Lonchura striata: one gene and its partner. The protein of the gene in region 1 interacts with the protein of each later gene in a pairwise test. Links are inferred from orthologs where the notes say so. Each region holds a gene or a part of one and is shown in the gene's direction. Other genes may lie near its edges.

Region 1 (10,856 bases):
CCAGCTCCAGGCTCTCTCCTGCCTGCTCCCTGCTCCGCATTGGGCTGCTGCACAATGTGTTCCTTCGTGGAGGGGAGAAAGCACTTTTCTGGAGCAGCTCTTTGGCCTGTCAGCAAAACAGAATCCATGGACGGCCCGTTCCTTCCACTCCATTCAGCTCCTGCCCCAGCCACATAATCACAAAGAACTGGAAATCCCGGGGTGAGCCCAGGGGAGGATTGCAAAACCTGCACTCGCAACTGGGGCGGATGGGGGGGAGGGGGTGGGAAGCGGTGCCAGCATTCCCGGGAGTCCCTCCGGGCACGCAGCTGAGCTGGGCACTTGCAGAAGCTGCAGCCTGCCTGCTGGATGTCCTGCCGAGCCGTGGAAAACCCCAAAAAGTCTCGGTGCCAGATGAAGTGTCACGGATTTCTCCGTCAGGTCAGTTTGCGAGGCAGGGCAGGGTGGTGAACGCTGCGTGTGGCTGTTCACTCTCAGGTGGTTGAATTTCTCAGCGTTTCCTTCTAACGGTTTCTCCTGATTCAGACCCTTAAAGCTGGCATGAGAGGCTTTTGTTTTTCTCTTATTTCAGCTTTCCCCTCTCCTGTGACCACAGGGTTAAACTAAACAAAATGTAGGGAGGATGCAGGTGGCTGAGAGGTGAGCGGTGCTGGAGTGCTGACTTGGGTTTGGGAGGAAAAACCTCATCTTGGGTCTGGGCTTCATCTGGGATGGAACAGGCTCTGTAAAGATTTTGTTTTAAGGATTCCCTGAGTATACAGGGCTCCTCCTCTCCAAAACGTTCCTGGAGCTTTGCTCCAGCTGTAACCTGTGTTTCTGGGAGCACAAACAGTGCAGAAATTCTCTCTTTGGGTGTGCACTGAGACAGACTTTAATTACCTGCTGGGTGTAGGGCACCAAGCCTGGGAGGTGCTGATAAGTGAAGGAGGTGCTGATAAGTGAAGGAGGTGATGAAATCTGGGATGGTGTCAGCATCCCATCAGAGCAGGGCTGGCCCCGCTGCTCTGACAGTGCTGTTCTCTTGCAGATGCCCGTGAGGTTGGACACTCGCTAGCGGAGAGCTGAAGCCCCCAGCCTGTGCCCAGGAGAGCAGGATGCGGGTCACCACGCGCAGGGTGCTGCTGCTGGTGGGCTCGGTGGCGGCCCTGATGGTGACCCTGCACCTCGGGCAGCAGGTCCTGGAGTGCCAGCAGGTCCTGAGCGAGAGGAGGCACAGGCTGATGAGGCCAGAGAACGAGGAGCTGGTGATGGTGGACGCCAACCACGTGGAGTACCGGTACAGCAAGGACATGCCCCTGATCTTCATCGGCGGCGTCCCCCGCAGCGGCACCACGCTGATGAGGGCCATGCTGGACGCCCACCCCGAGGTGCGCTGCGGGGAGGAGACCCGCATCATCCCCCGCGTGCTGGCCATGCGCCAGGCCTGGTCCAAGTCCGGCCGCGAGAAGATGCGGCTGGACGAGGCGGGGGTGACGGACCAGGTGCTGGACGCGGCCATGCAGGCCTTCATCCTGGAAGTGATCGCCAAGCACGGCGAGCCCGCCAGGTACCTGTGCAACAAGGACCCCTTCACGCTCAAGTCCTCGGTGTACCTGTCCCGGCTGTTCCCCAACTCCAAGTTCCTGCTGATGGTGCGGGACGGGCGCGCCTCGGTGCACTCCATGATCACGCGCAAGGTGACGATTGCCGGCTTTGACCTGAACAGCTACCGGGACTGCCTGACCAAGTGGAACAAGGCCATCGAGGTGATGTATTCCCAGTGCCTGGAGATCGGCCGCGCCCGCTGCCTGCCTGTCTACTACGAGCAGCTGGTGCTGCACCCCGAGCAGTCCATGCACAACATCATGAGGTTCCTGGACATCTCCTGGAGCGACACGGTGCTGCACCACGAGGAGCTCATCGGGAAGCCTGGTGGGGTGTCCCTTTCCAAGTGAGTCTTGGCTCCTTCCTCAGCTTTTTGAGGAGTTTTCACTGCACAAAGCAGGCTAAAACTGGGGACAGAGCTGCGTTGCTGGTGTTTGCGTGTGGTTTTAGGGCAGGAGGGACAGCACGTTGTACTGCAGTGGCGTTTGTGTTCCCAAGTAAGAGATGGCTTTAATGCTCCCAATCTGTTGTACTCCACAGAACAGCTTGTCAAGCAAGGATTTCAGGAGCAGGTGACTGTTTAATCTCTCTTGACACTGCAGAAATTATTTCAGTCTCTAATTTGCAAAGAACTGCTTACTCTGAAACGTGAGCTCTTTAATGCCTCTTTCTCCACCCGTCCTCAGATGCATCTTTGGTGTGATTAGTTGTGCTGCCAATGATGATGAGCTATAGTTCTTTCCAGGTCTGGGGTTGGTATTGCAGAATAAAAGCAATACCTGCTCAGTGGAGGCACACCCAGCAGTCTCTCCTGCCCTCTCCATGTGTGGGGGGTGTTTGCCTTCTCCCACTTTCTTTTCTTCTTTTAATGCTGTTTCTTTTCTAAATGGAGGCTTAAGTCAGGCTTAGCAAAATTTAATCAGCTGTGTAAAGGAATTATCCAAGTCTCTGTATCAGTTGCTGGTGCCCTCATGTTGAGGGCACAGGAGCCACGGGGGATGTGCAGCTGCTCCAGTTTTCTGGGATGCCCTGGGAGTGCAGCCAGCTCTACTTCCCTGTTTGCTCAGAGTAAATTGGTCCAGGTTGCTTAGATCAGGTTTTGAATATTCATAGGGGTCACTAATCTGTGCTACAGCCCACACATCTTACATTGTTTTCCTCTGATAAGGAGAGGTGTCCTGGTGAAACCCCCTGTCCCAGTGCAGGATGGATCCCTCCTGTAGGAAAAGAGAAGCACCCTCAAGTTGTGCCAGAGGAGGTTTAGGTTGGATCAAAAGGAAAATTCCTTCCCTGAAAGAGTAATTAAGCATTGGAACAGAGCAGTGGTAGAGTCACCATCCCTGAAGGAATTTAAAAGCTGTGTAGATGTGGCAGCTGGGGACATGGGTCAGTGGTTGGTAGCCTCAGCAGTCTTGGGGGAATGTTTGGACTCACTCTCTTAGAGGAATTTTCCAGCCTTAATGATTCCATGATGCTAAACAGGAGGACCCAGCCTCTGGGGTTGTGGAACCCCCTGCCAGGGTCTGCTTCCCCAGAGCAGGGCTGTGAGGGATGGAAGCTACCCCATCCAGGGAAGTGCCCAACGCCAGGTGGGACAGGATTTGGAACAATCTGGGATAGTGGAAAGTGTCTGTGCCCATGGCAGGGAGTGGGATGGGATGGGATTTAAGGTCCTGTCCTGTGGTTCTGTGTGGAGGTGGCAGCGAGCTGTGTGTGAGCCCAGCACACGCATGAAATCCAACCACTGTGTCTTTTGTTTTCGTCCTTTATTTTCCCCAGGATAGAGAGGTCAACAGACCAGGTGATCAAGCCGGTGAACATGGAGGCGTTATCCAAATGGATCGGGCACATCCCCGAGGATGTGCTGCAGGACATGGCCCACATCGCCCCCATGCTCGCCAGGCTCGGCTACGACCCCTACGCCAACCCCCCCAACTACGGCCACCCCGACCCGCTGGTTGTCAACAACACGCACAGGGTGAGTGGCACTGCCATGGAGGGGACAGGCCAGGGGCTCACAGAGCCCTCGGAGCAAGGGAAGCTCCTGAACCAGATCGGGATGGAGCAGGGGGGAAACAGGCTCACACAGGGAAAACAGAATCACAGAATTCCAGAGTCATTCAGGATGGGAAAGGTCTCCCAGGACCATCGAGTTCAACTTGTGCCCGATCCCCACCTTGTCACCAGCCCAGAGCACTGAGTGGCACATGGAACACATTTCTTGGACACCTCCAGGGATGGGGATTCCAAACCCCTCTGAGCAGCCCCTTCCAAAGCCTGACCACCCTTTCCATGAGGAAATTCCCCCTGGCACAGTTTGATGCAGTTTCCTCTCTCCTGTCCCTGTTCCCTGGGAGCATGACCCCACCACAGTTGTCCCCTCCTGTCAGGAGCTGTGCACAGCCAGAAGGTCCCTCCTGAGCCTCCTTTTCTCCAGGCTGAGCCCCTTTTCCAGCTCCCTCAGCTGCTCCTGGTACTCCAGCCCCTTCCCCAGTTCTGTTCCCTTCTCTGGATGTGCTCCAGCCCCTCCATATCTGTTTTGGAGAGGGGCCCAGCAGGACAGAGCACTCAAGGTGCAGCCTTTCCCCTGGCAAGGCTGGGAATGGCTGACAGCAGTGACCCAGAGGTGATTCCACTGCCCCAGGGAGTCACTCCAGGTTCTCTTTCCACAGGTTTTAAAGGGGGATTATAAAACACCGGCCAATCTCAAAGGTCACCTGCAGGTAAGAGCCAGGTGTACCCTGAGGGTTTGGGACACACCAGGGTACCCGTTCCCTGCTCCCTTCCCTGAGGAATGCTGGCTCAAAGCTGACCCTTCTCTTCTGGGGCTCTTCCAGGTGACTCAGAACACGTCATCTTCTCACTAAGAAAATTAATGATTTCCAGGTAAGACCCTATTTACTTAATTTTGGGGGATTTGGGCAAATCCTGCATTGCTCCAGGACCAGCACTTGGTTTGTGTGATTTCTGTGGATCTGCTGGGGTTCCAGGCACACTCCTGGTGCCAGGGATCCTTCACAGTCGCCTCCGATCTTCCCACACAATGCTGCTGTGTGGGACCATTTGTAAGGAATTCTTTTCCTGAGCTCTGGGAAGGGGATTAAAGCTGCAAAATGAAACTCAGCTGCCTGGGAGGGTTATTGCAGCCCATCCCTGCGGGTAGCAGGGACACATGGAATGCGTGGATGAGCTGGGCTGCTCCCCAGCTGCCTCCAAAGACGTGCCATGGACCTGAGGAAGGGGATAGAAAACAAAGGGAAACATGATGGAAAACAAAGCTGCTGCCTTGGGCTGCTGTTCCAGAGACAACTGTTGATGTGTTGGATGTTCTTCCTCCATGCTAAAGCATAAAATACCATTCTTGGTACTAAAACTAATCCTTTAAGAGCAAGTTTCTGTCTACAAGCATATGGGCTAGAAAAAGATCAGAAGCACTGAGGGAAGATCAGGAATTGTGTATCCCCCTTGTACTGAGCTGAGAATTGGTTCCTTTCTGGCCATTTTTTGTGTCATCTTTAAACCCTCAGTCAGGCGTTGCTGTGCTAGTCTGAGGGAATCCTGCTCCTGAGGGGATCCTGACCCTGAGGGAATCCTGCCCATGAGGAGATTTTGCTACTTAGGGGCTCCTTAGGGAATCCTGTCCCTGAGAAGATCCTGCTTCTGAAGGGATCCTGTTCCTTAGGGGATCCTGGCCCTGAGGGAATCCTGCTCCTGAGAGAATCCTTCTCCCAAGGGGATCCTGGCCCTGAGGGAATCCTGGCCCTCACAGGATCCTGCTCCTGAGGGAATCCTGCTCCTGAGGGAATCCTGGCCCTCACAGGATCCTGCTCCTGCGGGAATCCTGGCCCTCACAGGATCCTGCTCCTGAGGGGATCCTCCTCCTGAGGGGATCCTGGCTCTGAGGGGATCCTGCTCCTGAAGAAGTCCTGCTCCTGAGGTTCTGTGTTTTGTCTCTTCCAGAACGCTGCCAACAGCCTGTTGTTGCCCGAGAAGGAAGAGCGTGCAGTGGGCCCGTGGAAATCTGTTCTCCAAGCATATTGCTTGCTCCTACTGTTGCCAAATGACTGCGCTCCAGGAATGTATTTGCATTTATTTGCAAAGGCCAAACGTGCTCCACGGCGGGAACGTCCCCGGCCGGTCGCAGCGCTCCGTGGGGAATGCAGCTGTGGAAAGCCGGGGGGACGGGAGGAGATTCCCGTGCCGTGCCTGGAGGATTCTGTACATGGCGTGTGTGTGTGTCTCGTGATCCTGTTCCCGGTGTGGGAGGAACAGCCCTCCCATCCCTGCTGTTCCGTATTCCTGGGATCGGGAAGAGCCACCCTGGTCCTACTGTTTCCAATTCCCAGGGTCAGGAACAGCCCCCCTGGCCCTGCAGAGCCTTTGTGGTGCGTGTGCCCTCCCCCCCCACCGCCTCCCTGACCCTGCAGAGGCTATTGCAGAGTTAATATATGCCCCCCACCCCACCCCTGGTGTCGAACACCATTAAAGCGTTGATTTGATATTTAATATTTTAATTATTAATCGCGCGGGCTCCTCCCCCTCTACTCCCCACAAGGCGGTGCCACCTGCGCGGCCGCGCCGACTCGATGGTTTGGGGGCGGGGCTCGCGCGCGTGCCGGCGACCGGAAGTGAAGGCGGCGCATCCGGTGTGGCGGCGCGGCCGGGGCCGGGCTCCATGAGGGGGCCGGGGTCCCGGGTCAGGAGTTCCTGAGGGGCCGGGGATCCCTGAGCGGGCCGGGGACATCCCGGCGGTGCCGCGATGTCGATGTCGCACCTGTACGGCACGGACGGAGACGATGGCGTGGAGATGGAGAGCTTCGAGGTGTCGGACTGGGACCTGCAGAACGAATTCAACCCGCACCGGCAGCGACACCGCCAGACCAAGGAGGAGGCGACCTACGGCGTGTGGGCCGAGCGAGACTCGGACGAGGAGCGGCCCAGCTTCGGCGGGAAGCGGTGCGGCCGGGCTGCGACCCCCGGGCCGCTCAGGGACCCCAGGAGCTGCCCCGTTCCCTGGAGCTTCCTCCCCCATTCCCTGGAGCTTCTCCCGCATTCCCTGGAACTCCCTCCCCGTTCCCTGGAGCTCCCCCCCCCATTCCCTGGAGCTCCCTCCCTGTTCCCTGGAACTCCCTCCCCGTTCCCTGGAGCTTCCCCCCCATTCCCTGGAGCTCCCCCCCCATTCCCTGGAGCTTCCCCCCGCCCGTTCCCTGGAGCTTTTCCCCCCATTCCCTGCGTCTTTCCCAGCTGTGGACATCGCCGGCTGGGCTGCCCCTCTCACCTGTAGGGATTTTCCCTGTGCTCTCCCTGCAGCACGCAGAGGAGGATGGGGATTGCCTGGCAAAGCAGGGTTAAGCAGCTCGGCAGCCTTTAATATCCCATTTTTGGGAGGTGTGAGGCACAGCAGCTCCCAGCCTCCTGCAGGAATGAGCAGAATTCCCTCTTGTTTGGCAGCTCCAGGGATTACTCAGCCCCCGTGAGCTTTGTGAGCGCTGGGCTGAGGAAGGGGGCGGCCGAGGAGCTCTCGGATGAGGACTCGGATGAGGATGAGAAACCTGTGAAGCAGGAGGAGATTCCCAAGGAGTTTGTGCCCAAGAAGTTGAAAACAGTGAGTTCTCCAGGAAATTTGCTGTTCTCTGTTTTAGGTTTGTGAAACTCAGGCTGTGGTCGAGGGCAGCGAGATGTAATAGAGCACTAAAAAAAGGGAGGAATAATTAAGCCAGAGACCCAAATGTGTCAGGGAAGTGTTTGCTTGGGATTTTGTATCATTGATACAAATACATTGATAAAAATCAGGATAATAAATCATTGGTACAACTGTACATTGGTATAACTGTGTGTCCTTGGGGATCAGTCCTCTCATTTTTTTCAATATTCGTTTTGGTCCATGGAGGTTTAAAGAAGAGAATTCCTGTGATTTCCTGTCTTTCAGACACTTTATTTTTCTACTTTCACAGAATTAACAAATCCAGGCATGTTATAGAGTAAAACTCAAACTCTTCAGTTAAAACCAGAAAGAATCAGGAATCAGCTTCAGCTAAATCTGGTGGTGGAACCTGAGAACTGTCAGGTTGTCAGCCAGAGTTTTTTCAGGGTTTTCCTTTCCCATCTGAGGAATTTCAGGAATCTCCAGTGGTGCTTCACGGATGCACAAGCATGGTTCCAGCATGGGGAGGAAGAACCTTCTGAGGGGAGTTTTGCACATTTTGGTTATTTGAAGCCCCAGGGCTGCAGGTTTTTACGTGTTTGTTTTTGACAGGGTGGAAATTTCAAGCCCAGCCAGAAAGGCTTCGTAGGGGGCTCCAAGTCCTTCGTGGATTTTGGCAGCTGGGAGAGACACACTAAAGGAATTGGGCAGAAGCTCCTCCAGAAGATGGGATATGTCCCTGGCAGGGGTCTGGGGAAGAATGCTCAAGGTATTGTCAATGTGTTTGGTGGTTTATTATTATTAACTGGGGGTTCTGGGGAGAGGTTGGATTCCTTAAAGAGCTGCCATCTGGCTTAAACTTCCTTCTTGTTTTCCTGCCAGTGATCTGGGCCTTGTGGTGAGATTCAGGGGTGTTCAAACTAACCTGTGCTCGTTTGCTCCTCTGGGTATTGTACAAGAGAAAAGGAGCAAGAAAAAAGGCAGTAAATTCCAAAGGTGGTCATCCCACAGGGAAGGAGATGCTGTTTTAATGTGGCAGAATAAAAAGGCAGTGAAATGTGGTTGGGAGTAAGGCTGTGCTTTGGCAGTTTGGTGTGTGCTGGGATGAAGTGATTTTATAGGGAATTGGTGATGTTGGAAGTACCACGGTGCTGGAGGCAGTGCCAGGGAGGGTGTTGGTGCTGATCTGGTAACTCATAGGGAAAGCCTGGCTGTTCTCCCAGCACACAAACTGCTCCTGCTGACCCCATTCCCATCCTGCCAGGAATCATCAATCCCATCGAGGCCAAGCAGAGGAAAGGCAAAGGTGCTGTGGGTGCTTACGGCTCCGAGAGGACCCCACAGTCCTTGCAGGACTTCCCTGTGGTGGACTCAGAAGAGGAAACTGAGGAGGTATTCCTGGGGCTCTTGCTGTTTCCCTGCTATGCTGTATGTACAGAATTCAGTTTTCTTGATTTCTGTGTGTCAGAGAAAACTGGGCTCATTTTAGACAAGCCAAACACAGCATGTCGATTTTGTTCAGGCTGATCTTCCTTGTTGCTGTAATGTTCTTTGTTGTTTCTGTCTCACTCTATTTCTTTAGTTTTGCTAGAATCCCTCCTTTGAAGAGTCCCCTACATAAATAGGCTTTGTCTTCATTTAATCCACATGGTGGGTGACTGGCCCACAGCATCCAAGCTGGTTTTACATGAGCTTCTCCACTTCCCAGTTATTTCCTATACATATTCCTCATGGATCTGATGGTTATTTTCCTGTGAAAAGAGGCAGAATTGGGGTGTGACAAAGAGCAGCTACCACAACTCTGTTGTTTTTGTCCAGGAATTTCAGAAGGAGCTCAGCCAGTGGCGGAAGGACCCAAATGGAGGCAAGAAAAAGCCCAAGTACAGCTACAAGACAGTGGAAGAGCTGAAAGCCAAGGGCAGGATCAGCAAGCAGCTTGCAGCCCCTCAGAAGGAGCTGTCCCAGGTCAAGGTGAGGTTGATAAGCCAAGAGGTGACCCGTGGAGGAACAGTTTGGGCTCTTTGGTGTCACCAGCACATTTTAGGCACCAGTAAGCTCAGTAAAGCCAGTCCTAGGAATTCCTGTGCAGCCTCATGGAGCTCATCCCTGAGCCATGTAATAGCTCTGTGTCATCTGGACGTGGTGACAAGTTTAATTAAATGTGTGTGTAGGGGGTTAATTGCAATAAGTTTAATTATTTCACATTTGTCATAATCAACACTCACCCACTTCTGACAGCACAGTTGTCCTTTTAGGGATTGTTTGATCTTCTACCTCAAAGGGACAGTAAGGGCTTTGTGACAGTAAGGGCTTTGCCTGGTGTGCATTCAATAAAATTATGAAACTGAAATTAAAGTATCTTTATTAAATTATAAAAGTTCTAAGTGCAGCAACTAATGGCAAGATTACTGCTTGTAGAATCATTCACTGAAACTGGGATGAGATGAGGAGATGCTTCTTCTGGCTCTGATTCCAGATTGTCTCTTACTTTTTGTAACTCCTATATCTGATTGTGGAGGCAATCCCCTTGTTCAAATACAGTGTATGTTAGAAGCCTCCTGGAGTAATTAAGGTCCTTGAAAATCTCCAGATTTCAATTTGGAGCCAGGGATTTTCTTTTTTTTTGAAGCTGAGAGGTTTTTGTTAGAGAATTTGTTCTGTGTGCTGGCAGGTGATCGACATGACGGGCCGGGAGCAGAAGGTTTATTACAGCTACAGCCAGATCAGCCACAAGCACAACATCCCAGATGACAGCCCCCAGCAGCCCCTGGGCAAGGACTCCAAGCCCCAGGGCTTTGCTCTGCCCGAGCTGGAGCACAACCTGCAGCTGCTCATCGACATCACGGAGCAGGAGATCATCCAGAGCGACCGGCAGCTGCAGTACGAGAGGGACATGGTGGTCAACCTCAGCCACGAGATCCAGAAGATGGCTGAGGTGCTGTCCCACGAGGAGAAGGCCATCAGCAACCTCAGCAAGGTGCTGGACATGGTGGAGGAGTGTGAGAGGCGGATGCAGCCGGGCTGTGAGAACCCTCTGACCCTGGATGAGTGTGCAAAGATCTTTGAGACTCTGCAGGACAAGTACTATGAGGAGTACAGGATGTCAGACAGGGTCGACCTGGCAGTGGCCATAGTTTATCCTCTCATGAAGGAATACTTCAAGAACTGGGATCCCCTCAAGGTGTGTGCTGGTTTGAGTTATCTGCAGTTCTCACTTGATGGCTCCAGTAATCTTTGTTACTTTGTCCCAAGTGTCCTGGTCTAGTGGGAGGTGGCCCTGCCCATGGTAGGGGGTGGAATGAGATGAGCTTTAAGGTCCCTTCCAACCAGTCTGGGATTCTAAACTCCTGATCAGTGTGGAGAAAAAGAAGAGACAAAATTAAACTCTCTACTGTCCCCAATCTCAGGCATTTTCCGGGTAAAAATTTAGGGGTTTGTAAGGTTAAAACCAATCTCTTCTCTGAGTGTTGGGATGAAAAATGTGGTGAAAAAAATCTCTAGCTGTTGGTTTTTTTTTTTTTAGCAAAAGCAGGAGAGGTTTGTCTGTCAAGTATCAGAGATGCACAGTCTGTTCTCAGTACCATTTAGGCTGGGATAGAGTCTGGATCTCTGTACACCTGGAAAAAGT
Region 2 (9,992 bases), on another chromosome or scaffold:
ACAGCAAGATTAGAAAATATCATTACAACTCCTGGATGATTTAAAGTAATCACTGTGATTTTAAATATTGTTCCAATGTTTGTTTCAAATCAAACTTTATCTCTTCAAAGTGGGTTCAGGTTTTGAGAAATAAAACCAGCTGGAATAGGTATGTTCTAAGTCTCTCAAAAGTGATTTAATTGATTTGTCAGTAATAATAGATCTTGACAAACCACAAGCCCAGCATGAATCCAAAAGTCATATTAGGTTAGTATCTTATGATAGCAAAATACTTTTCAGGGAAAGTTTACAAGAGAACTGTGCTTGTGACAAACAAAACTTTTAAAAAACATAGATCAAAGCCTGTGAATTTAATGTTGACGCTAAAGAAGAAATAGCTTTTGACCAACTTTTCTGCTACTGCCTTATTTACATACAGAGTCCAAGTTATTTTTGTCATCTCTGTTCTCAGTAACAAGCTCATGCTCACATTTTAATGATTAATTTTATTAAGAAAAAAATGAGGTAGCAACTTTACATCAAGTTCAGCATTTGCATATCAACAGCAAACACTTGTATTTCTGGTTATTCACATCTCCTCAAAAGTAAACTTAGATGATCTCAATATATTGAGAGAAATCCTTATTGGAAACAAATAATGGCATGCAGTTAAAAAACCAATTTGTTGATACTAAATCCAGACACTTGTTACTAGAGCTATAGGAAGAGATGAGCACTGTAGCAACTGTCAGGATGAGTGATGCCCCCAAGCATCCCCCACATAACCTATTGCTTTTGTTTTTAAGAACAACCTTCATAGAAAAACCCACATTTTTGAGTTAGTTCAAAATTATTGGTGGTCTCCCATAAGATTGTCCTTGTAAATCGTAATGAACAATGAGAATATCCATAATAAACTTACAGACTACACACACTGAGCCTAACAGAGCAAATGCAGAAGTGTATCTTAATTGACAGACCCCCTCAATATCAAGAAATTATCAAATTAGGTAAACAAATTAATTTCCTCGTGTCAGCTGCATACACAAAGGGGGATAAATTAATTCATGTTTTCAGTGGCATCATGTTTGAAGGACTAAAAACACCACCAGATGGAAAAAGTGATCCAGTGGAACACATTCAAATACTCTTGGGTATCTCAAACAAATGATAAATGATTCTATGCTTTCTGCTAATTTTACTCCTGGAAAGTAAAATATAAAAGTGTTCACCTTTAGATAAAGATAAATGAACCATAAGGAAGCAACTCCTCCCTTTCTTGCCACCTCTTAGAGGCCAAACAACACCTCAAGGATATTCCAAACGGCACTGATCCTTTTGGAAGTGTAAAACTCAAATACACTCAGATCTCTGAGAATGTCACTAAAAACAAGAGTTCTGAAGTCAAAGTCAGCAAAATTCCTACACTGCAGAATTTGTGGATTTGTGTTACAATGTTAAACAAGTTGCATAAACTCAAACCAGATGAATTTTATTCTGGTATCCCCAAAACAAGGTAATGATCAACAGATGTGCCACAATAAAACTATTTTTTGACTATTCTAAATGAAAGTTACTTTTATCCAATTTTCTACTTACGTTGTTCTCCCCTGCCTTTAGTAGAAGTCTTCTCCGTTTGTTTCTTCTGTCCAGCATCCATCCCTGGATTCTCAATAGCTCTCTCTTCAGTTATTTGGATTTTGTTTTGTGATACCTTTTGTCCCTTTTTGTGCTCACCCTGAGGCACTTCATTTTCTTTAGTTTCAGAATGCATCTGCAATTTAAACATACTTTGTTTAACCAGTTTGTTTCAACTGGATATAAAGAAAGGCTGTTGTTCTGAGAACAGAGACTCAGTGGAACAGATTGCCCAGAGAGGTGCACAGCCTTCATCCTCAAGGCTTTTCAGCATCAGGCTGGACACTGGGCTCTAACCTCATGTCTGAGACTACTTTGGCTGGGAGATTGAGCAAGAGATTTTCTCAAGTCCAAACTGAATTAACCTGTGAAATACTTACCCTGTTACTTCACAAACTTAGATACATTAGAAAGCTTTGATCTGCATAGCTCTCAAATTTTAGTATAAAATTGCCTTTATGGATTAAAGTTAATTATTTGCAAGTAAGATTAAATTCACTGGGGATGTTGCTTTTTACTGTTGTATTTCTGCATACTGTACAATTCTCTAACACTAAAATACTACCACTCCTCATTTTCTCATTTCCTTCCTCTGCCTCAGTTGAAGTCTTTCAGACAGTTCTTAATTTACCTACTCCTTGTAACTCAAAAAAAATTCAACCTCTATCATACCTTGTAACTTTCTCCCTAAGTCACACAACCCTCACAATAAAAGTTACGAGGTTTAGACAATGGTGCAACTTCTGATATTTTTTTCTGTATCAAAAAAGAGATAACAGCCTTATTTTAGATAAATTCTGAAACTAGTCTAAGATTCAGAATATTGCAATTAACTAGTGAAATTAGTTTTACACTCAGATAAAGTGTTTGGAATTGTATATTTCTTAGGGGAATTTATTTTCTTGAAGCAATGACTACCAAGTAATGTCTGTTTATTATGGGATAGCACATAAATAGACAAAAGTCAGTACTACAAAATACAAAATACAAGTACCAGAATGCTGGCATATCAATTTTTGTACACATCTATATACACACAAACACACATATCTAAACACATACCATCTATAAATGGTGATTGAAAAGAAATCAAGTGTGCTTAAATTATGCTCAGAGGAAGGGAGGACAGCACACAAAAGCATGCAAAGCAAATCACCTGTTTCTCATCAGAAAGCACTGGGTTTTCTTCACTGCTATTAGTTTCCTCATGAGAGGTCCTCTTTTTTTTGTCCTTACCACGTCTTTTTGTAATAAAACACACTGAATCAGACATAATTTCCTCCTGATTGCTTAGTTCATCTGACTTAATGGAAGAAGATGCACTCTTTACAGGACCCTGTAGCAGAAAAAAAACTATAACTGGAAGATATCCAACACAAATACAAATTAAATACTCCAGGGACAGTTTCAATTTTATTATTTAAAAAAGTATTTTACACAGAGGATAAACAGTAGCATGCCATGTAGCAGAATAATAATCAAGAAACTGGCACTATCCAGATTCCCCTAAGCATTAAAGCTCATTGTTTGGAGACTTTAAATACAATTGAAATGATTGGTTTATCATATTTCATTTTAATAAGACTATAAAAGCCTAATATTTTTTATTTGAAATCTAACTTGCATGATGCCATGACCCTCCCATATTTGTACATTTGTGGAATACTGTTCACCAGTAAAAACAGGGCTCCTTTCCTGCTCGTGAAAATTTTTAAAAAGCTGACAAGGTTTACACCAGTTCCTCAAATCTTTAAAGATTTTTAAGGGATGCACTTAAAGGCAGATGCATTTTAGAAAAAGCAGATAGCAAACTACTTTAATCAAAAATATTGCCACACTCAACAAAATAATTAATCTTACAGAAAACGTTAAAGAAGTTAGGAAAACAACACATTAAGAGACAAATAAAGGACGTAGCACAACTGTATTGCTTTAATTATAAATGGAAGTAAATTGTCGTAGATGCAAAATGCTTTCCAATTAGTACCTAGTCCCCTTCATTTAGGCATGCAAAATTAATAAAATATTTTTATATTTAGTATAGAATAGTGTCTGTAGCCAAACAAGCAAGAATTAAGGTTTGTTCAGTGGAAATTATGTTATTGTTCACAGAGAATAGGCTTGTATTGATGCTGAAAAATATTGTTAATTTTGGCAGCTGAAAAGAAATAAGATTTAAGTCATATAGGCCACTTCAAAACTAACATTAGCATATCAATTTCTATCAGTATGTAAGTACTTTAACCTAAGGGCACTAAGAAGAAAAAGGTATTTCTATTACAGTTCCAATTGTGGTCAAAATCACCCTTCAGCATATACTCTGCTCTATGAGTTACATATTAAGGATTACATTTCTTAAAAGCAACAGCTGATTTATTATGTTACCATTTTTTCACTTTCTTCTTTTGTCCTTTCAAAGTGTTGCTTCAATGATTCCAGTAATTTGTCTGCCTGAAGAGAAATCAAAACACATGAACCAAACAGTCCATTGAGTCACTGAAGAGCTGCATAAGCCCAGCCCGCATCCTATAAAGTGATCCAACAAACCAGCAGAACATTTCCTGAATCCAAGAGAATGAGGTCTACCTAGGACTCGTTCAAGTCAGTCAGTTAGAGAAAGTGCCTAAGGCCACAGATAAACATGTAGATATCCTCCACCGAGGCACAAAGGCAATTTTCCATGCCTAGGTTTCTCCTGCTCTATTTTCCAGGGGGTTAATATTCAAGGAAGGAGATAAACTGTTTTAAGCCCCATAGCGCAGCTGAACTTGAATTAAAATTGTGTCAAATTTCTGCAATTGCTTCTGTCTTGCCCCGTGCTACGTGCAAAACATTCTTTTCATCCCTGTCACGCATTCAACAGTGATAGTAACAAAACAACAATGAAAACACACCACTGATAAGCCAGGCTATGAAAGACTCTTGAACACCTAAGTGGAAAGGTCAGCACAAAAACAAACAAAGTACCCCAGAACTACCATTCCCAGAAAAACTCTTGGTCTGTGAGGACAGGGAGCTGCCTTGTCCACCCAAGCCGTGGATCCTTCTTTTAAGGCTTTACGAGCTGTGCCATTGCTGCCAGGAGGAGCCCGGCCGTGCCTCACAAGCACCTGCAGCTCCTGGCAGGAGCCTGGGGCATCCTTAAACTTCTCACCCCTTAACCGCGCCCGCCAAACGCATCTCCTCCCTTAAGGTACTCTCTTGTCACTCTTCCTCCCACTCCGAGTCGTAAGGGAAAAAAACAAACCAAACCAACCAAACAAACACAACTATCCGCACTGGCGGCGGACAGCGCGGGGTCACCGGCGTGGGGAACAGCCGGGCCAGCAGAGAAGGGAGCGGCCTCCCCTTCTCGATGCCCGGGGGACACCGGAGCCCCGCTCTCTCCCCACACTGAGTGCTTGCCCGCCTCCCGGACGGCAGCACAGCCCCGGGGCGCCCCGGCGCCGCTCCAGACGCGGGAGGTGCGCCCGGCGAGGCTGGGGACGTCACGCTACCGGGCACGGGGGCACCCCAGAACCCGGAGCTTCGTGGGCAGCGCTGCCTCGCAGCTGCCCCCGCCTCACCCGCAGGTTGGCCCTCAGCCCGGCGGCCTTGGCGATGCGCTGGAGCTCGGCGTATTTCAGCGCCTCCAGGGGCTGCAGCGAAGCGAGCGCCATGACAGCAGCTCCGACCGACCCGCCTGCCCGCCGCGCGCCAACCGACACCGCTCGCGCCGCCCCCGCCGTTCGAACTGGCCCGCTGCGCCAGCCCATTGGCTGGGCCGCCGAAGGGGCGTGGCCGAAGGGGGCGGAGCGAGGGAGCCGCCAATGGCGGCGCGGCCCGCCGCGCGTGCTTATTTTCAAGCGCGATGAGGCGTTCCCGGCAAAGAAAGTCGCGCGCGGTGCAGCCCGCTGCCCAATAGCCGCGGGCGGCGCGGATTGACGCTCCTTCTGTCCAATGGCAATACAGAGGTGCGCACCACGCTCCAATCACGATGCTTACGATGCTTGGGGGCGGGCCCCGCGCCCGAGCGCTTGGCGGGAGGAGATGGCGGTGCGGCAGCGGCTGCGACAGCTGTTCCAGGACCCGCAGACCGTCGGGGCCATTGTGCTGGAGCGGGCGCCCGCCCTTGCCTCTACCGCCTGCGTCTCGCTGTCGGCGCCCCGGACGCCGCCCCGGCCGCCGCCCCTGTCGCCGTCTTCCGTGCCGCCGGCCGAGGTGCCGGCGTCGCCGCCGCGGCAGCAGGGTCCGCTGCCGGAGGAGTGCGCCGTGTTCCACTGCCGCGGCTGCTGGACAGTGCTGGGAGACTCGCTGCAGCTGTGCGGGCAAGAGCCGCCGGGGCTTAGCGTCCTCATCTGCTTCAGTCAGTGCCTCCTCCGCGCCGGCTGGTGCTGAGGACGCGCCGCTGCCCCGCGCGGACCTCGGGGCGGGCAGCGGGGCTTGGTCCGGGGGCTCTCTGCTGCAGCGCGTCTCTCTTTCTCCTCAGGAGTCACCAATGATGTGACCTGGGAAGAGTCGCTGTTGGTCGGCCTCGAGGGAGCCCTCCTGGGATGGTGCGTAGCTCCCGTAGTTCCGGCAGCGGACCTGCCCGAGTGGCCGCCGCGGTGAATCGTGCGCACGAAGCCGGGAGCTCTCCGGCCTGTGCGCGGGGATGCTCAGGAGTTTGGCAAGTCACTGCCAGTGACTTCTGTGCCTGTTTCACACCTCGGATGGAGATACTTTTTGTAGGGATGTAGTTCTCACTTGAAATCGAGATTTTTGCTGCTATAACCTCTGTAGGTGGAGAGAAACATTCGAGCAATGCAGTAGAATACAGCTTAACTTGTAGGTCCCTTTCTTCTCTTCCCTCAAAGGTCTCTTGCTTAAAGCATCTCTGGGTTTTGTTTGGTTTGGTGGGTTTTTGGTTGCTTTGGTTTGGTTTTGCGGGGAGGGGTGGCTATTGGTTGGTCGGTTTTTCTTAATACTGAAAATAAAAAACTTGTGCTGCCCCATTCAGGAACCTATCTTTTGCAAGGTTTGGTAACTCAGTCTAACGGGAAGAATGTAAAATGTCATCTAGGGGCTTACAGAACCAGTAGCTTGTTTAAATGATTTTTAAAAGCTGTTTTATAAACTGTCAGAACTGGGAACTGCTTCAATATAAGACTTGCTCTTTTTTTGACTTTTTTCCTTGCCCCTCTCTCTGCATGGGGTAATGATATATTTTATTAGAATTTTCAACTGGTGCATCCATTATTTTATTATTTAAATTATGTTTGAGTAGAATATGTAAATCATTCTGTGATAATAAGATGTGCATTTTCTTCCTTAACAGCAACTTCACTTATTTGAGAGATTGCTTCTTTCACAACATGCCCAATTTCTTATGGTCATACTACTTTGTACATATTACTTTTCTGAAGAGGATGCGTTATTATGCCTTGGATTTTTTCCCAATGGAACTGAAGATTTTATGCTCTCTGACAAATATGCAATATCTGTGGTTTCAAAAGCTTCTGTTTAAAAACACTTCCCTTTCTCCTTTTAGTACTTATTATTTATTATTCTGTCGATCTTGTGGCTCGGCTGTGGGCTTCATTCTTTACTCTTCTGGCAGTGACCTGGTGTATCTCCGGGACTTGTTCTGTTTCTTCAAGGACAGCATCATGTGGTGAGTACACTGCATTCCATGGTCAGTGACTTCACAGGTAGTTTCAAGTCACTGTACAACTAGCCTACAGCTAACAAAAGTGGTTTAACTTCTGTCTGAGCACATTGGTGTGGGATATTAATATTCTTGATGACTAAATTGTGTTGATGTGAATCCCTTTGATTTCCTTGCACCTCTTGAGTGTCCTTGTGCAATGCAAGACTTCATACTTCGTTGTGTGCAATGCTGAAATCTCTTCAGTTCCAGATTCATTTAGCTAATGTAAGGTATCAAAGTGATTATTTGATTGGTTGAGAACTTGACTGCAGAAGCTGTAAATTACTGAGAGGATCTTGATTCCAAAGTAAAACCATTGCTGTATTTTGAATATTTTCATAATTATTACTTTTGGCAACAACCTTGTATCTGATTTAAAATAATTTTAAATCATCTGTCTAAATAGTGCAACTACAGGTTTTGTAACTGTGTTTTTTTTCCCTTTCCCGTTTTGTTTTCCAGTTATCTCTTAAAAAATCAAATGATTGTAGAAGCTTCTAAGGTCAATTTTCCAGCTGTGACCTTAAAGGAAAACATGCAGAAAGTAAGATTTCCACAATAATGGAAAATACTTTTAAAATACTGATAATTTTGGACATTAATTCAAAAACATTGATACAAATGTGGGGGTTTTAAGTGCTTAGGACTGAGAAACTGCTGCCTTATATGACAATAACTGACTCAATGCATGAGACATGAACATTTTCTAAGACCCCTAAACTGCATAACATACCCAGTTCTAGTTAAATTTTGGCAAAAGTTTGTTATCCTTTTATCTTTATACCTTGCAAAGAAAAAAAACCCAAAAATAATTTATACAGACTTGGCCTAAGCATTACAACTTGTGTTGTCATTGTTGAAGAATTTAAAATCAGAATTTTTTTAATATGAAAGGGATTTTTTTAAAGAGATATTTTTATGTCTGTGCAAGCTCAAAACAGCATGGCAGTATTTGTTGTTTCAGAGAGAACTCTAGGACCTCCCTCCTGTTTTGGTGTTCAAATTGGATGTTCTTATCTGTAACTTGACTAGTTTGTTAGTTAATTGCCTGTGCCTTAGCTCAAATAAAGTTATTGTGTGTAGGAGACAGCCAGCATATCATATTTATGTGATAATTTGTTCATTACTTTTTTTGGGTTTCAGTTTGGATTTTAGTTTCTCTTGTAATGGACCTTTTACATTTCTTTAATTTTGTCCTCTTCCAGTTTCTGTAAGATCAGACTGTTTTTACAGGTCAAGTGAGGCTAAGATACAAAAATCCTATCCAGCTAAAACTTCTGAAGTTGACACATGATTTAGTAATAGTAAATGGCTGAAGTAAAAATATGACAGCACTTCATTGCAAACACAAATTATGTGACTGTAGAGACTTTGCTTATTGACTAGAACAAGCTCAAGCATCTGGCCTTTGCTTTTTGAGACATAATGTCCACATGCATTCCTAAGCTAATGATAAAACAGTTTGTCTACATATTGTCATAGGTTTCTGGCTGTGTGAAAATTTGAGTTAACTAGAAAAGATCCAGTTCATCATAGTAAAACTGCAGCAACTCCATCTTCCATTATGCCCCTGGAAGGACTGATACTGGCACACATTGATCCATCTCTAGTTTGTAGTGTAGCCTTCTGATCTGGGTGCTGGTTTTGTCAGTACTAAACATGCAATATAGAGATCAAGCCCCTCTATACTTTCCCATCTTGAAAATGAGCTGCTCTTTAGCCACTTAAAAGTGGGGTGCAGGTCATTCAAAGGTCCAGTGTTAGGACTTTTTTTGCTAATTTTAATACTCTTCTCTTTTTTCCTAGGTGAAAGAAAAGCTTGTGGACTTGAGTGCTCGCATAGAATTAGTAACAGAACATCTGGATAAAATAACAAAATAATTATGTAAAAGAACGGCAGAACTCTTCAACAGATCAACTGATACACATTTTCAAGAACTGTTGGAAATGTTTCTGCATCTCTGCTGTGTTTGGTCATTACCAAGAAATATTGCACCAGAGTAATTGATCTGTTACTTTATCTGTGTGTGGAACAAACTGATGATGAAGTGCATCCCTTCAGGAACACCTGAGAATCTGACATACTGAAATTATGCTTGGAAGACTGAATAGTTCACCCATGCAGCATGTTACTCTTTGAAGCTGTGTAAATGTGACTTTAGTTTTGTAGTGACTTCAGGGTGAAAACTAGCCTTTGAAATACTGAAGTCAGGTTTCTGGAGCTGTGCAAAACATACTTGGCAAGGTGGAGATATTCAAGAGCAACCATTACAAACTGAACATTCTTAGAGACCTAGAGCTCTTGTCCCACCATTTAATAGACACATTGTTAATGGCAGTCTTGGTTTTAATGGCAGCTAGTTTTTGGTCAAGTGCTCATTAGCTACAACTGATATGTAAGCCACTGCTAAATGGACTCCTGAATAGTTTTGAGATTTGCTAGTGTGTGTTGCCTGCAAAAGCAGCAGACGAGCACATCACAGATGCTGCAGTGTTCTTAGAGCATGAGTCTGGATGGCACCATGGAGGAAGAACACAAGGTTTTGAATTTAAGGTAATGGGCAACCCACGTGCCAGCAAAGTCAGTCCCAGGAACAGGACTGAGTCAAATTCTGCCAGCTAAGGCTGTGAGCAACTGCCTTGAACAGATTTGAGCATTTCTTTCTGGAACGTTAACTATGAAACCAAGGGACATTCTTCTGCACAA

Evidence for each region.
Region 2: the proteins of TFIP11 (region 1) and OIP5 interact in binary tests that used the Homo sapiens proteins (3 or more experiments, as listed by UniProt). The two-hybrid records come from large-scale screens. The link is inferred for Lonchura striata from reciprocal best matches to the Homo sapiens genes TFIP11 and OIP5.

Annotation. Positions count from the first base shown.
Region 1 is NC_134620.1:10,621,029-10,631,884, forward strand, and holds the start of TFIP11 (tuftelin-interacting protein 11), read left to right. Parts: upstream 1-6,218; 5' UTR 6,219-6,343; coding exon 6,344-6,540; intron 6,541-7,035; coding exon 7,036-7,189; intron 7,190-7,840; coding exon 7,841-7,997; intron 7,998-8,492; coding exon 8,493-8,620; intron 8,621-9,046; coding exon 9,047-9,199; intron 9,200-9,899; coding exon 9,900-10,409; intron 10,410-10,856. Other genes in the region: TPST2 (protein-tyrosine sulfotransferase 2), read left to right, coding at 1,095-1,930, 3,364-3,562, 4,257-4,307, 4,422-4,451. UniProt on the Homo sapiens protein: Involved in pre-mRNA splicing, specifically in spliceosome disassembly during late-stage splicing events. Intron turnover seems to proceed through reactions in two lariat-intron associated complexes termed Intron Large (IL) and Intron Small (IS).
Region 2 is NC_134608.1:37,490,653-37,500,644, forward strand, and holds the start of OIP5 (protein Mis18-beta), read left to right. Parts: upstream 1-5,613; 5' UTR 5,614-5,646; coding exon 5,647-5,962; intron 5,963-6,085; coding exon 6,086-6,152; intron 6,153-7,126; coding exon 7,127-7,249; intron 7,250-7,747; coding exon 7,748-7,829; intron 7,830-9,091; coding exon 9,092-9,166; 3' UTR 9,167-9,992. Other genes in the region: NUSAP1 (nucleolar and spindle-associated protein 1), read right to left, coding at 1,579-1,753, 2,774-2,953, 4,003-4,068, 5,184-5,276. UniProt on the Homo sapiens protein: Required for recruitment of CENPA to centromeres and normal chromosome segregation during mitosis.